Elephas maximus indicus: one gene and its partner. The protein of the gene in region 1 purifies or fractionates together with the protein of each later gene. This does not show direct contact. Links are inferred from orthologs where the notes say so. Each region holds a gene or a part of one and is shown in the gene's direction. Other genes may lie near its edges.

Region 1 (7,454 bases):
GTTGGGTTACTTGCCCTACCAACTTCACAGAGTTTCACTGAAAATCAAATTTTTTTGAAAGCGCTTTGAAAACTGAAAAACACAATATAAAACTAGAATCTATTTTAGAGTTCTCAGTACCATAATACATTTTTTGTTTTGCTAGGTTTGTAAAGTTTGAAAAACATTTTGAAACATATATATTATTTTACGGTAATGATATGAAAACATGCATCTAACAGGTGCTTTTGGAATATTGAGTTATCATTAATATTCACTGACAATGCTTAGACTCATGCTGGTATTAAACAGAGGCTATACTCTTCTTAATTAATTGCACCAATTTAAGATAGTATTTATGATGACCTGAAAAAAAATTAGAACATGTTTATAGAAAAATGTTGCTTATGATATTCAAAATGCATTATTTTTCCCAGCCAAATTTCATTACATTTTTCTGTTAACATTTAGACAGAAGAGTAGAAATTAAGTCTTCCGGTACTCTTTGAAATTGTCCTGCTTTGTAAAGCAGCACATCATTTTAGTATTTAAATAACAATAATGTTTAATTGTTCTAAACAAATCCAATGGCTTGATATTAGATTTCAATTTTATTTTATCTTGCCCAGCTGGATTATATCCCTTAATCATAAAACCCCCTTAATCATAGGAACACGGTATTTCAGTGCTAATGAATTGGTGTTAAAAGTGTGAAATTTAAACATTCTCAATGTTTTTATGACTTTTCAATACATTAAACATCTATAAGGAACTATTTTATATAAGATGCTCACAAAATTTTATTTTTATTCTCTATTACGCCCCTTTTTTAAACTTCAATGTATTTATTACAACATTTGACGCAGCGGGAACTACACTTCCAATCACACTCTGGGTCCGGTTACTTTTCACACTGCCTTTACAATGACCTATATAGTAGCAAAATTTTGCAACTCAAACCGATACATTTTCCTTTGGAAACAAGCCCTGTGGATACTTAGGTCCCATCAAGTTGGGTCAGTGCAGCATACTAATTTCTAGAGGCCTACTACATGCAGAGTTGGTAACTATAGGGGATGAAGGCTTAAAAACAAGATCCTAGGTGAAACTCAAGTTATTTTAACAAAGATTTTTCTTTTAAATATCAAGTTATATCTCAAACACCTCAGTGACAAAAATTTGGCTTACTAAGGAATCTGCTTAATATCTAAACACTTTAGACCACTCAGTTAAGATTAAGGTTACATACACCTTACAACAAACGTTACCTCAATCTGTTCAGTAAGTCAATGTGAAACTAGAAAGGATGGCTCAGGACCAGGCAGTGTTTCATTCTGTTGTGCACAGAGTTGTTATGAGTCGGAACCGACTGACAGCACCTAACAACAACAACGTTACGCTCCTTGGCACATTTAAAATGTTATCATTTCAAGCATGCTGTGAGCTTAAGTAACCCCGTTCTACTAAAGCAAATGCTATTATAATTCTTTTTCAATTTACAATATATTTTACCAAAAAAAAATCTATAAGAATGGCAATGAATTGATTGTGCATACCCAAAGTGAAAAATAAATATTTTTAACTAAAAAGAACACAAACATGAATCATAAAGCCAAAAATTATTTTTCATAATTACAATTTCAAAAACAACTCAAATATATTCCAGTATAAATTTCCAAAGCTCATTTCTTTAATGCAGCTCATATCCCAATAGCACACAATTCCCTTGGACTTGTGGAGCTATGCTGCACCCAATATTGTTTCACTTCTGGAATGCTGCTTTGATACTAACAGAAAAAATAACAATAATAAGATATCTCAGTCACTACACCAATTTCCCTATATTGATGTTGCTGGGTGCAACCCCAGGTTTTGCTTGGTGTGATTTGTTACAGCAAATAAACAAGAGGCCAAGGTGGGAGATTAGAAAGGTACGTTTATTTTGTGGCGCAAGGAAAGGAACAGTCAGTGCTGCCACTTCCAAGAATACTCGTAGTTAGCTTGAGGCGGGGGGCTTTTACAGAGAGCAGACAAGGAAATGTAAATTTATAATAAATATTCAGAATCGATCTTTGAGAAGGTGGCCAGAGCCTGGGGATGACTATGCATTTTTCTTTAGACAAGGATTTGATTCCCTGGGATGGAGGAAGAGGTCAATTTTCCTTCGTTAGCGTGTTAAGTCTCTACACAGAGGCAGGGTGCTTATATGTATTTTGCACTTAATGAGCTACTGTTTTGTTGTCATTAGGTGCCATCGAGTTGTTTCCAACTCATAGTGACCCTATGTACAACAGAAAGAAACACTGCCTGGTCCTGCGCCATTCTCACAATCACTGTTATGCTTGAGCCCATTGTTGCAGCCACTGTATCAATCCATCTTGTTGAGGGTCTTCCTATTTTTGCTGGCCCTCTACTTTACCAAGCATGATGTTCTTCTCTAGGGACTGATCCTTCCTGACAACATGTCCAAAATATGTGAGACGTAGTCTTGCCATCCATGCTTCTAAGAAGCATTCTGGCTATACTTCTTCCAAGACATATTTATTCCTTCATCTGGCAGTCCATGGTATATTCAATATTCTTCACCAATGCCACAATTCAGAGGCATCAATTCTTCTTCAGTCCTCATTATTCATCGTCCAGCTTTCGAATGCATAGGAGGCAATTGAAAACACCATGGCTTGGGTCAGGCGCACCTTAGTCCTCAATGTGACATCTTTGCTTTTCAACATTTTAAAGAGGTCTTTTGCAGCAGATTTGCCCAATGCAATGCGTCTTTTGATTTCCTGACTGCTGCTTCCTTGGGCGTTGATTGTGCATCCAAATAAAATGAAATCCTTGACAACTTCAATCTTTTCTATGTTGATCACGATGTTGCTTATTGGTCCAGTTTCTGAGAATTTTTGTTTTCTTTATGTTGCGGTGTAATCCATACTGAAGGCTGTGGTCTTCAATCTTCATCGGTAAGTGCCCCAAGTCCTCTTAACTTTCTGTAAGCAAGGTGGTGTCATCTGCATAACGCAGGTTGTCAACGAGTCTTCCTCCAATCCTGATGCCCCATTCTTCTTCATATAGTCCAGCTTCTCAGTTTATTTGCTCAGCATACAGATTGAATAGGTATGGTGAAAGGATACAACCCTGACACCTTTCCTGACTTTAAACCACACAGCATCCCCTTGTTCTGTTTGAACAACTGCCTCTTGATCTATGTACAGGTTCTTCATGAGCACAATTAAGTGTTCTGGAATTCCCTTTCTTTGCAATATTATCCATAGCTTATTATAATCCACGAAGTCCAATGCCTTTGCATAGTCAATAAAACACAGGTAAACATCTTTCTGGTATTTTCTGCTTTCAGCCAGGATCCATCTGACATCAACAATGATACCCCTGTTTCCACATCCTAATGGCCTAATCACTTAAAGTGCCAAGATGGTGTTGAAAACCTGTTAAAACCGGTTAGGGCCAGCAGAGATCATTTTATGTTCATCTTTTTATTTCCAGTATTTGACTCACTGCTTGGCACACTGTTGACTCTCCAGAAGTTGTGGAATAAATACATGATTAATGGAATGAAATAGGTAGTTGAAGATGCTACTAGGTTATGAGTTTTTTCCTGATTTAGAATTACCACAAAGAAATGACAGAGTAAAACCAAGGCTTTGAACTTCAGGCAATTAATAGCACAGGGAAGAGTCATAGTAATGATAGGAAGAAACTGTTTCTTAAAGGCAATAGGGTACACTAGAAAAATTAGAAACTAAAAGTCATTACACTGACAGTCAAAACAGATGTGGACTTCATGTTCCTGGAGCTTACAGTCGAGTACAATGTCCTACAGCAATACCCAACGCATACCTAATATCTATTAGTACATTTACAGCATTTTGCACTTTTTTTGGCCTCTCTCTCTCAACGGAACTTTGAGGAAGGCATTTTCTTGTTTAACTTTGAATCCCCAGCATCCAGCAGTGTCTGATACACACCCGGAGCTCAGTAAATGTGTAGGAAATGAATGACGTGACAATAAAGGAAGTAAAGCAACCAGTAGCCCTAGTGAAACAAAAAGCTAATTCCATTCTCAGAGGTCCTTTCCAAAACGCTAGCAGTGTAGAAATTCACCGCTCCAAAGGATCCTGGGTTTTCCACCCCACCGTGTTTTTTGGGGACCTGCGGGGAAACCAGAGGGAAAATACCTGTTTTAAATTCCCGCGATCCCGGAACCTGGCCTGATAAAGCAATCGCGGGCCTAATCGCATATAATTTAAATCTCCACAACGTGGAACTTACACCGCCATCTGCGGTGCTTAAGTGACTCCTGTGGGGTTAGGGACGAGAAACGCCGCCCCTGACTCTAAACTAGACAGCCAATCCAAACTGCCGGAATCGGTGAGGGTAGACTTTCCTCCGGCTCGTGACTACAATTCCCGGCAGCCATTGGGCTCCAAGGTCCGCCCTCTTGCCTGGGGGCGGAGCCCGGGGCTCACCTCGCGGGGTGCTCGCCCTTCCCCCTCGTGGCCAGGAGTGGCGCGTGTGGCGGGGCGTGGCGAGTACCATGTGGTGCCGTGGCTCGGGCTGCCGGCTTTGGTCCTCCTGACCTTCTCGGGCCTCGGAGCCCGCACCCCGCAGAGATGCCGAAAGTCAAGTCGGGGGCGAGCGTCCGGCGCCGGAAGCGGCAGGAACAGCGCCAGGAGCTGAAGAGCACCGGAGGTCCGGGCAGCCGGGAGGGGGTCTGGGCGTGGGCCGGGCGTTCCAGCGGGGCTGATCACACGTTAACCCGAGCCGGGGCCGCTCCCGTGAGCGCGGAAGTCTGGGGCTCCCGGAACGCGGCCGGCTCGCAGGCCCCCACGCCGCCTTCGGCCTTGTCCGCTGAAGGGATGGGCTTAAAGCACTATGTCAGTCCCAGCTCCAAGATCGACGTTTGGTGTCTCTGGTTGTTGCAGAAGTCTTCCCCCATCCCATTCTGCTTTCTGCTTTCTTCTCCAGGACGGTCTAATGTCTAATCAGGTTGGGAAATTAAAGCTATTTTGTGTTTTTTTGTTGTTGTTGTTGTTCCAGGACTCATGTTCAACACTGGGATTGGGCAACACATTTTGAAAAATCCCCTCATTGTTAACAGCATTATCGATAAGGTGGGTGTGAAAGAGGAAAGAGAGTTGAGTTAGTAATTTTGCTTTGAGGAATACTTAAGCGCAGAGAGCATGCCTGCTGTAAATGCTCTGTAAATATTTGTTGAATCGGTGAAGACTTATGTAGGATTCACATGCTGTCTTCTGCATGATGTGCTTCAATCTGTAGGTGTGGGTTTCTTCTGTCCCCAAGTTCTTTTCTTTCTGTAGATTATCCACTTCATTACCAGGACCTTTGTACTTGTTGAATTACAGGTTGCTATTTTTTTTTATTCTTTTTGTCCTAGTCACCAGATGTCACTGTCGGTTTCTGTTTGCTCATTAGGAAGACTGTTCCCCAGAAAAGCTTATGTGGTACAATCCAACGTCATATATAAATTATTTGAAATATGCCTTCTGTATGGGTCATTGGTGACTTCTTTTTGTTATGGATGACTGGGAGCTAGGATGTGAGATATAAGTGGTGCAAATTACTTTTGTGGTTGCAAAGTTTACATTAACTGGGAAGCATCTTGAAGCTATAGAAAGAGCATTACATAGTTCTGTGATCTCATTCTGATCTAGTATCATTTGCAAAATGAGCGTTAGCTGTGATCTCATTCTGATCTAGTATCATTTGCAAAATGAGCGTTAGCCTTGCTTTTTAACCTGTTTTACTCATGGATTCTTGAGCATTTCCTGATGAAAGCTCTGGACCCAGAATATTGCAGCAGTGTACATATACCAGTTTTAAGTACAATTTCTGGGTATTCCTGCATCCCCTGAAATCCATACATGGGTTGAGAATTCCTGGTCCAACACTGTGATTCTCAGGCAAGGTAATCATATACAATCCTTTCCCATTCGAAGTTGTGTAATATGAACAAAGTCAGTGAGAAAGTGCTATAGGAGTCACTTCCAAAGTAGAAAGTGGAATGACAATCCCAGAAAGAACTGCTGTTCTGACTTCTAAAGTTGAAGAGAGGTGTTAGATTTCCACTTACACCGAATGTTTATGAGCTAATTTTGTGAAGCACAAAAATCATGAAGAAAGCTCCTAAAAATGTAGACAAAGATTTCCTGAGAGCTTATAAACAAATATGTTGTTGTTAGGTGCTGTCCAGTCAGTTGAGTCATAGCGACCCAGTGTACAACAGAACGAAACACTGCCCAGTCCTGCACCATCCTCATAGTCATTGCTACATTTCAGCCCATTGTTACAGCCACTGTGTCAGTCTATCTTGTCAAGGGTCTCCCTCTTTTTCACTGACCCTCTGCCTTATCAAGCATGAGGTCCTTCTCCAGGGACCTGTCTCTCCTGATAACATGTCCAAAGTACGTGAGACAAAAGTCTCGCCATCCTTGCTTCTAAGGAGCATTCTGGCTGTACTTCTTCCAAGACAGATTTGTTCATTCTTCTGGTAGTCCATGGTATATTCGATATTCTTTGCCACCGCCATAATTCAAAGGCATTAATTCTTCTTCAGTCTTCCTTATTCATTGTCCAGCTTTCACATGCATATAAGGCGATTGAAAACACCATGGCTTGGGTCAGGCTCACCTTAGTCCTCGAAGTGATGTGTTTGCTTTTTAACACTTTAAAGAGGTCTTTTGCAGCAGATTTGCCCAATGCAGTGTGTCTTTTGATTTTTTGACTACTGCTTCCATGGGTGTTGATTATGGATCCCAATAAAATTAAATCCTTGACAACTTCAGTATTTTCTCTTTTTATCATGATGTTGCTTATTGGTCCAGTTGAGCAAAGATGTTCAGGTGTAAATTAAACTGTGTGTTCAGATGTGCCGGAAGAGCTAATGTTATGCTTGCTTTTAGGCTGCCTTAAGACCAACTGATGTGGTCCTGGAAGTTGGACCTGGGACTGGCAACATGACTGTAAAGTTGTTAGAAAAGGCAAAAAAGGTAAAATGGAAATTGAACATTTTGGTGTCAGAAATGACTAGCAAGCTCAGCTGGCTAACACAGGTGTTTTAATTAATTGTTATTATCTTAATAGTGGAAACCCTGGTGGTGTAGTGGTTAAGTGCTACAGCTGCTAACCAAAAGGATGGCAGTTCGAATCCACCAGGTGCTCCTTGGAAACACTATGGGGTCGCTATGAGTTGGAATCGACTCGATGGCATTGGATTTGGTTTTTTGTTTTTATCTTAATAGTAATCCTTGATTCCTTGCTAGGAACTTTATTGTAGAAAAAATGGGATATACAAGTGAGGAAATGAGAAACTATATTAGGTATTTCAACCCAGGGCATTTAAAATAGAGAACTGATTATATGGTTGTTAGAATACTGAAAAAACAAAATGGGAACCTTGAATAATAATTGCAAAGAGCAGTTAACACCTCTAGGCC
Region 2 (7,199 bases), on another chromosome or scaffold:
TACACTCTACATACATTATTTTTATTTTATACAGGCTGCGTATTTATGTTATCATTTCTGCTTTTACTATATGTCAGCGTTGTTTTAAGTTTTATGGGTTACTTGGTATGGTTTGGTAGGTTATGTACTGGGTCTGAGAATGCTCAAAATTTTTTCCTGTATGAATTAATGGTAATTGTGTCTTTGTTTTATGCCGTTTTGGCTTACCAAAGATTTTCATAGGAACAATCTCCTTTTGGATAGCGGAGAAAGCCTGTATTTCTTTCTTTCATTCAAACTCAAAATGTAAGCTATATATTCCGAGCACCCAAACTTTGAAATGACCTCTCATAGACCTATTATCCATGGATAATTCGATAATCACTTTTTGCTACTGAGAGTTAATTTGTGCCCTCTTCCACTCTGTATTCTTGGTAGGCTCTGGGACTTCAAAAGGAGGGAATTTCAAGTTCCTTATAGATCCCTCAGAAATTCAGGGGGTAACATATGATCAGGAACCGATCACTGAAGGAAGAAGTCCAAATGTCACCGAAGGCACTGGAGAAAAACAAGCCTCTGGGAACTGACCGAATACCAACTGAGATGTTTCAACTAATGGATGCAGCGCTGGAAGCACTTGCTCCTCTATGCCAAGGAATTTGGAAGACAGGTACCTGGCCAATCAACTGGAAGAGATCCATATTTATGCCTATTCCCAAAAAAAGGTGATCCAACCGAATGCGGAAATTATCAAACAATATCATTAATATCACATGCAAGCAAAATTTTTCTGAAGATCATTCAAAAGCGGTTGCAGCTGCATATCTACAAAGAACTGCCAGAAATTCAAACCAGATTTAGAAGAGGACGCGGAAACAGGGATATCATTGTGGATGTCAGATAGATCCTAGCTGAAAGCACAGAATACCAGAAAGATGTTTACCTGTGTTTTATTGACTATGCTAAGGCATTCACCTGTGTGGATCATAACAAATTTTGAATAGCATTGCAGAGAACTGGGAATTCCAGAACACTTAATTGTGCTCATGAGGAATCTGTACATGGATCAAAAGGCAGTCTTTTGAACAGAACAAGGGGATACTGAGTGGTTTAAAGTCAGGAAAGGTATATATCAGGGCTGTATCCTTTCACCATACCTATTCAATCTGTGTGCTGAGCAAATAATCCAAGAAGCTGAACAATATGAAGAAGGATGGGGCATCAGGATTGGAGGAAGACTCCAAGTGACACAACCTTGCCTGCTGAAAGTGAAGAGGACTTGAAGCACTTACTGATGAAGATCAAAGACTACAGCCTTCAGTATGGATTGCACCTCAACATAAAGAAAACAAAAGTCTTCACAATTGGACCAATAAATAACATCATGATAAACGGAGAAAAGATTGAGGTTGTTAAGGATTTCATTTTACTTGAATCCACAATCAACACCCATGGAAGCAGCAGTCAAGAAATCAAAAGACGCATTGCATTGGGCAAATCTGCTGCAAAGACCTCTTTAATGCATTAAAAAGCAAAAATGCCACCTTGAGGACTAAGGTGCGCCTGACCCAAGCCATGGTGTTTTCAAACGCCTCATATGCATGGCAAAGTTGGACAATGGCTAAGGAAGACCAAAGATGAATGGACACCTTTGAATTGTGTTGCTGATGAAGAATATTGAATATATCTTGAACTGCCAAAAGAAGGAACAAATTTGTCTTGGAAGAAGTACAACCAGAGTGCTCCTTAGAAGGAAGGACAGCAAGACTTACATCTCACATACTTTGGACATGTTATCAGGAAGGATCAGTCCCTGGAGAAGGACATCATGCTTGGTAGAAGGTCAACAAAAAAGAGGAAGACCTTCGTGAGATGGATTAACACAGTGGCTGCAACAATGGGCTCAAGCATAGCAACAATTGTGAGGATGGCACAGGACTAGACAGTTTTTCATTCTGTTGTGCAGAGGGTCGCTATGAGTTGGAGCTGACTCGATGGCACCTAAGAAGAATAACAACAACAACCCTGAACTTTTGTTAGTCTCTGTAGAACAGGTCTATCATGATAGTATTAAAAGCATAAGAAGCAAAAACAATTAGTAAAATAAGTCACTATTTGTACTTTCAGTGGAAAAATAAAAACATCTCATGGCAGATTTCTTCCTTTTGTAAAAAAGGAAGAGTAAGCTGATGTTTTTTTGAGCATTTAGAAAAACTATTACCCTTTCAAGTGTTGTCTAAGGCTGTGCGATGATATGAAACAGCATTGGTGTGGGAGCAGGGACCGCAGTTTCCTTGTGTGTAGAATAAGCAGAGTAAAGATGATCTCCAGGCTCCATCCAGCTCTAAAAGTCTACAAACCTCTTGGAGATAAAGCCAGGGGACCTTTTAGTGTGCACTTAAAGGTATAGTTCATAGTTTATTATTACAACTGATTTACTACCAAGAATGGCTATTATAAATCTTATATTTAGATATATGAACTTTATTTTTGTAATTTAGTTTTTTCCAGTTAAATGGAAATTGTTTTCATATCACTAATGTCTAAAAATGCAAGTAATATCTAAAAAAAAAAAAAAAAAAATTTAAAGACCACCAGAATAATTGTATTTACCTGACTCATTAGGGGCTAATTAGTGTGTGAATGTGTGAGCCTCCTGTAGCTCTCTTCCTATTTTTGAACAAGGACAAAGAGTTCAAATTCTATTTTGTACCTTTTTTATAAGCTTCAAGGACATTATAACCAAAGGCTAAAATGAGTTTTTGGCACTATTTGGAAGTCTATTTTGGGGGCTATGCCCACCACCTCAGTTAACCTGAAACGAGAATAACCAGTACTGTACATTGTTTATTAATTTCAACTCAAATCATTTCACAAATGTTAATATTTTATCTTTAGCCGTGCATGCATGGTGAGGTACATACTTCTTAACAGCTCCAAAATACAAACTTTTAAAAGAAAATTTATTAATCAGTGAAATCACACTAGCCTATGGGAGAAAGTTAAGTACACATTTCTATACTTCCAAATTTCAAATTAACATTGGCGCATTTTTATGCCAGCTAAAGCACCTAACAGTTGGCATAACTGATCTCCTTAGTCAGATAATGGAAGACTGGCTGGTCACTGCGCAGATTTTCTGCGGTTTCTGAAGTTCATCTCTATCACAAATCTCAATTCTGGTACCCCTATCAAGACTTCAAAGACATGTGACACCTTTAATTTAATAAAAAGAAAAATTAAATTTCTAAAATACAACAGAATAACAGATTTCGAGAGTGAAAGTCTATTTTTTAAACAAAATCTTAGCCCTTTATTTTTCATAAGCTTTTATAGTTTCAGCATGATTCGATTGACCAGTTTTAGTCCAGTAGGAATAAAAGTGCACGACCTGGTTGGGTTTCATCCTCATTGTTGGCTACTGGGATTTCATAACTGATGACCAGGTCCTAAATTGGTCAGCGTATTGTTGAATATCCGTCTTTTTGGTGGGTAAACTCAGAAACGCAGTTCTCGGACTTGTTAAATTCTGTGTCTATTAAAACCAAGAGAACAGCTCCCATGCAAAGGCCTGTGAAGTGTGCCATACATTACAGAAGACCGCGCTCTTAAAGCAAGTTTCTATCTCCCAAGCCTGCACCAAGACAAAAGAAAGGCTCTGCCCTCGCCCTTCAGAATTTAAAATTCAATTCGCAAGGCAAAAAATTAGACGTGGGGGGGCGGGACTCTGCATATAGCAATTGCTCATTTGTGTTGTACAAATCAAAACCGAAATAAAACTTGGAGTTTTAAACAAATAGCGGTTGAAATATATAAGAAAGCAAATCTAAGATGGAAGGATAAAAAGGTTGGGGATTTGAATTGAAAATGCCAAGTTGAGGACTGAAAACATTTGGATACAAGCAGCCTCCGGCCTGGAAAAGCAAAAAGCAAAACGGAAATCGGCACTAAAAAATTAGAAAGGCCAATAGGTTTTGCAGCAGGTCGGTTTAACTGAAAGGCGGTTTCCTTTTCCTCCATTTGCTCAGTCCCAATTGGAAGCGCAATGCGCGGCCTGCGCCGCGCTCTCGGCCCGGGATTCGGCGTGGGGGCGGGGAGGTAAGTACGGTAATGGGGCGGGGCCAAGGCGCGGGCGCGCTCCGGCTTTCCTACTGCGCAGCGCTACCGTAAGCGGGGGGGCGGGGCGGCTATATTACGTGCGCGGCGCCGCCCCTGCGAGAGGACGTTGCGTGCTCGCTCGCGCCAGGCGAGTCTCCGCGTCTCCCTCGCGAACTGGGTGAAAGGAATTGGCGCCGTTCGACACCAGGCGGGTCCGCTCTGCAGCACGAACCCACCTCCAGCCGCAGCCGCAGCCGCCGCCCGGGCCGAAGAGCAGCAGCAGCAGCCGCCACTAGTGGCCGTGTGCGCGGAGCCGAGTTTGAGCCAGCACCTAGCGGTGAATCGGGGTCCTCACGATGAGTTCCTCGCCTGTTAATGTAAAAAAGCTGAAGGTGTCGGAGTTGAAAGAGGAGCTCAAGAAGCGGCGCCTTTCCGACAAGGGCCTCAAGGCCGAACTCATGGAGCGACTCCAGGCCGCGCTGGACGACGAGGAGGCCGGGGGCCGCCCCGCCATGGAGCCCGGGAACGGCAGCCTAGATCTGGGCGGGGATTCCGCCGGGCGCTCCGGAGCAGGCCTCGAGCAAGAGGCCGCGACCGCCGGCGACGAGGAGGAGGAGGAGGAGGAAGATGAGGAGGAAGGGATCGCCGCCCTGGATGGCGACCAGATGGAGCTCGGGGAGGAGAACGGGGCCGCGGGGGCGGCCGACTCGGGCCCTATGGAGGAGGAGGCCGGCTCGGAAGACGAGAACGGCGACGATCAGGGTTTCCAGGAAGGGGAAGATGAGCTCGGAGACGAGGAGGAAGCCGCGGGCGACGAAAACGGGCACGGGGAGCAGCAGCCGCAACCGCCGGCGACGCCGCAGCAACAGCCCCAGCAGCAGCGCGGGGCCGCCAAGGAGGCCGCGGGGAAGAGCAGCGGCCCCACCTCGCTGTTCGCGGTGACGGTGGCGCCGCCCGGGTCGAGGCAGGGCCAGCAGCAGGCGGGAGGTAAGAAGAAGGCGGAAGGCGGCGGAGGCGGCGGTCGCCCCGGGGCTCCGGCGGCGGGTGAGTGCTGCGTTGTACGTTGCGCGCGGCGGGAGGCCCGCGCGGGTGGGGACCGTGCCCCAGGCCTGCCGGAGCCCCGCCAGGGGGAGGGAGCCCTGCGGGGGCGTCGGGCCAGGGAGGCGCGGAGCCTGCTGGTGGCTGGCTTGGTGGGGGGGGTGCGGGGAATCCCGGATTAGCCGTGAGGCCTCGGCCTTGGTGTGTGTGACGGTGGCGACAGCGCCTCCATTATGTGGCTCGAGAGCCGGGAGCTGCAGCTGCCGCCGGTGGGGGGGCGAGAGGAGCGGGCGGGCGGCGGCAGGGAGCCCCGTCGGCCCTCGGTGGCGCCGCCGCGGTGCGTGCGCGCGGTGCGGGCACATGTCTCGGGGGGAGGGGAGAGGCCCGCGGTCCTGGGGCGGGCGCGCTTTGGCGGCTCTTCGCCGCTGTATTGTGCAAGGAGCGCAGGGGCCTGGCGTGACGTCACTTCCGGCGGGCGGAGCCGGGCGGAAGATCAGTACAAAGCGGCCGAGGAGCGCGGGCCCGGGTGGGGGAGGGGAGGCCGCGGGAGCGGAGGCCCGGCCCTTCCCCCCTTCCTGAACTCTCTTCGGGGTACACGTGGGCTCTCGGCTTGCGCCGCGCAGGTTTTCCCTGCGCTGTCTCTAAAATCGCGGAGTAGACTGGCAAAACGAGCGCTGTCTAGACTGCGTCACTAGCTCAAATCCTGTTGCACTGATTGTTGTTGGAAATTCACAATTGGTTTGTCGATTTAAAGTTTTTTTTTTTAAAAAAGAACAGGAGAGTCGAGCCTTTTGGCGTTTCAAAATAGAAAAGGTTTTTTTGTTTTGCGCCTTGGCCTCTTATAAGGTGTCGTGTATTATAGGAGACGGCAAAACAGAACAGAAAAGCGGAGATAAAAAGAGAGGTGTTAAAAGACCTCGGGAAGATCACGGTCGTGGATATTTTGAGTACATTGAAGAGAACAAATACAGCAGGTAGAGGATGCTAACCGAGTTTAATTGTCACCTGTTCATCATTCGTTGATGGAAAAAGCTGTATCAGGAGACAATTTCTCTTTCAGGGCTAAATCTCCTCAGCCACCTGTTGAAGAAGAAGATGAACACTTTGATGACACAGTGGTTTGCCTTGATACTTGTAAGTGAAGCTATTTTTCCTCCCGCCCACTTTCTCATGCGGTGATTTTTGGTTCCAGTACGTTAGAAAACAGTGCTGTATGTTGAATATAGAAAATTTAGTAAGGTTAAGTAATTTGTTAAATATAAGTAAGATGTGGTCTGTATTCAGATTCTGGCAGCTAAACATTTAGTACAGCATCAGTTGTATTGATAATTTCACAGGTTTTAGTGATTTAGTAATTTTTATATAAGTTGGAAGTTTTTACCAGGAATATAAAATTAATGCCAATTTTTGACTAATTAGTTAATTCAAACTTGTAAGACTACCCATGAATTGTCCTAATAGGGTTCTATGGTAAAGTAATTACATTTTTTGTAGCATTATGTAAAGTGAGCTATTTGGGCTAGTTGAATACTTAGTAATGGGTTTTTCCGTTAGCACACAAGTATATTCCCTATTCTGACAAAAGATTGTAATAATACTTTTTCAATAACTGCTCTTTTGTTCTCAATTCCAGTTCAGTAACTGCTGCTTTAACATAAGTTGATTTCCTCCAAAGACCTGGGCAGCAGCAGTGGGCTACCACTGGGCCACTAGTTTCTTCAGCAGCGAATGGTATCAATGGCAGCACTGTAAATACTGCTACTTTTGCCAGTTGGGTTGCAATTGAGTATAAGGAAGTATTGCAAACCTCTAAATGGGCCTTGGCTGTCAGCCTTGTTATCTTTTTCATTGTAAAAATTGTTAGTTTAGTATTCGATAGAACACAAAGCTTTTTCAGAGAAGTAGAATAAGGGGTGGAAATAATGGCTTGAAGTACAAGCAGGTAAGATGGTGACCTGCCCTGTAGATTGAAGATATGCCCTGTAGATTTATTCAGATTTGCAAGAGTAAATGTAAAATTCTTGATTTCTTTTTAAACACTATTTATAAGTAGCTGAGATACTCATTGAGATTTTTAAAAAAGC

The links.
Region 2: the proteins of DIMT1 (region 1) and HNRNPU purify together in Homo sapiens (affinity purification with mass spectrometry; 3 studies listed by BioGRID and IntAct, with this or other methods). This does not show direct contact. The link is inferred for Elephas maximus indicus from reciprocal best matches to the Homo sapiens genes DIMT1 and HNRNPU.

What each region holds. Positions count from the first base shown.
Region 1 is NC_064820.1:66,944,626-66,952,079, reverse strand, and holds the start of DIMT1 (probable dimethyladenosine transferase), read left to right. Parts: upstream 1-4,443; 5' UTR 4,444-4,610; coding exon 4,611-4,689; intron 4,690-4,701; exon of another isoform or gene 4,702-4,872; coding exon of another isoform or gene 4,873-4,986; intron 4,987-5,037; coding exon 5,038-5,111; intron 5,112-6,920; coding exon 6,921-7,007; intron 7,008-7,454. UniProt on the Homo sapiens protein: Specifically dimethylates two adjacent adenosines in the loop of a conserved hairpin near the 3'-end of 18S rRNA in the 40S particle.
Region 2 is NC_064842.1:19,264,603-19,271,801, forward strand, and holds the start of HNRNPU (heterogeneous nuclear ribonucleoprotein U), read left to right. Parts: upstream 1-4,191; 5' UTR 4,192-4,433; coding exon 4,434-5,121; intron 5,122-5,977; coding exon 5,978-6,089; intron 6,090-6,175; coding exon 6,176-6,249; intron 6,250-7,199. UniProt on the Homo sapiens protein: DNA- and RNA-binding protein involved in several cellular processes such as nuclear chromatin organization, telomere-length regulation, transcription, mRNA alternative splicing and stability, Xist-mediated transcriptional silencing and mitotic cell progression.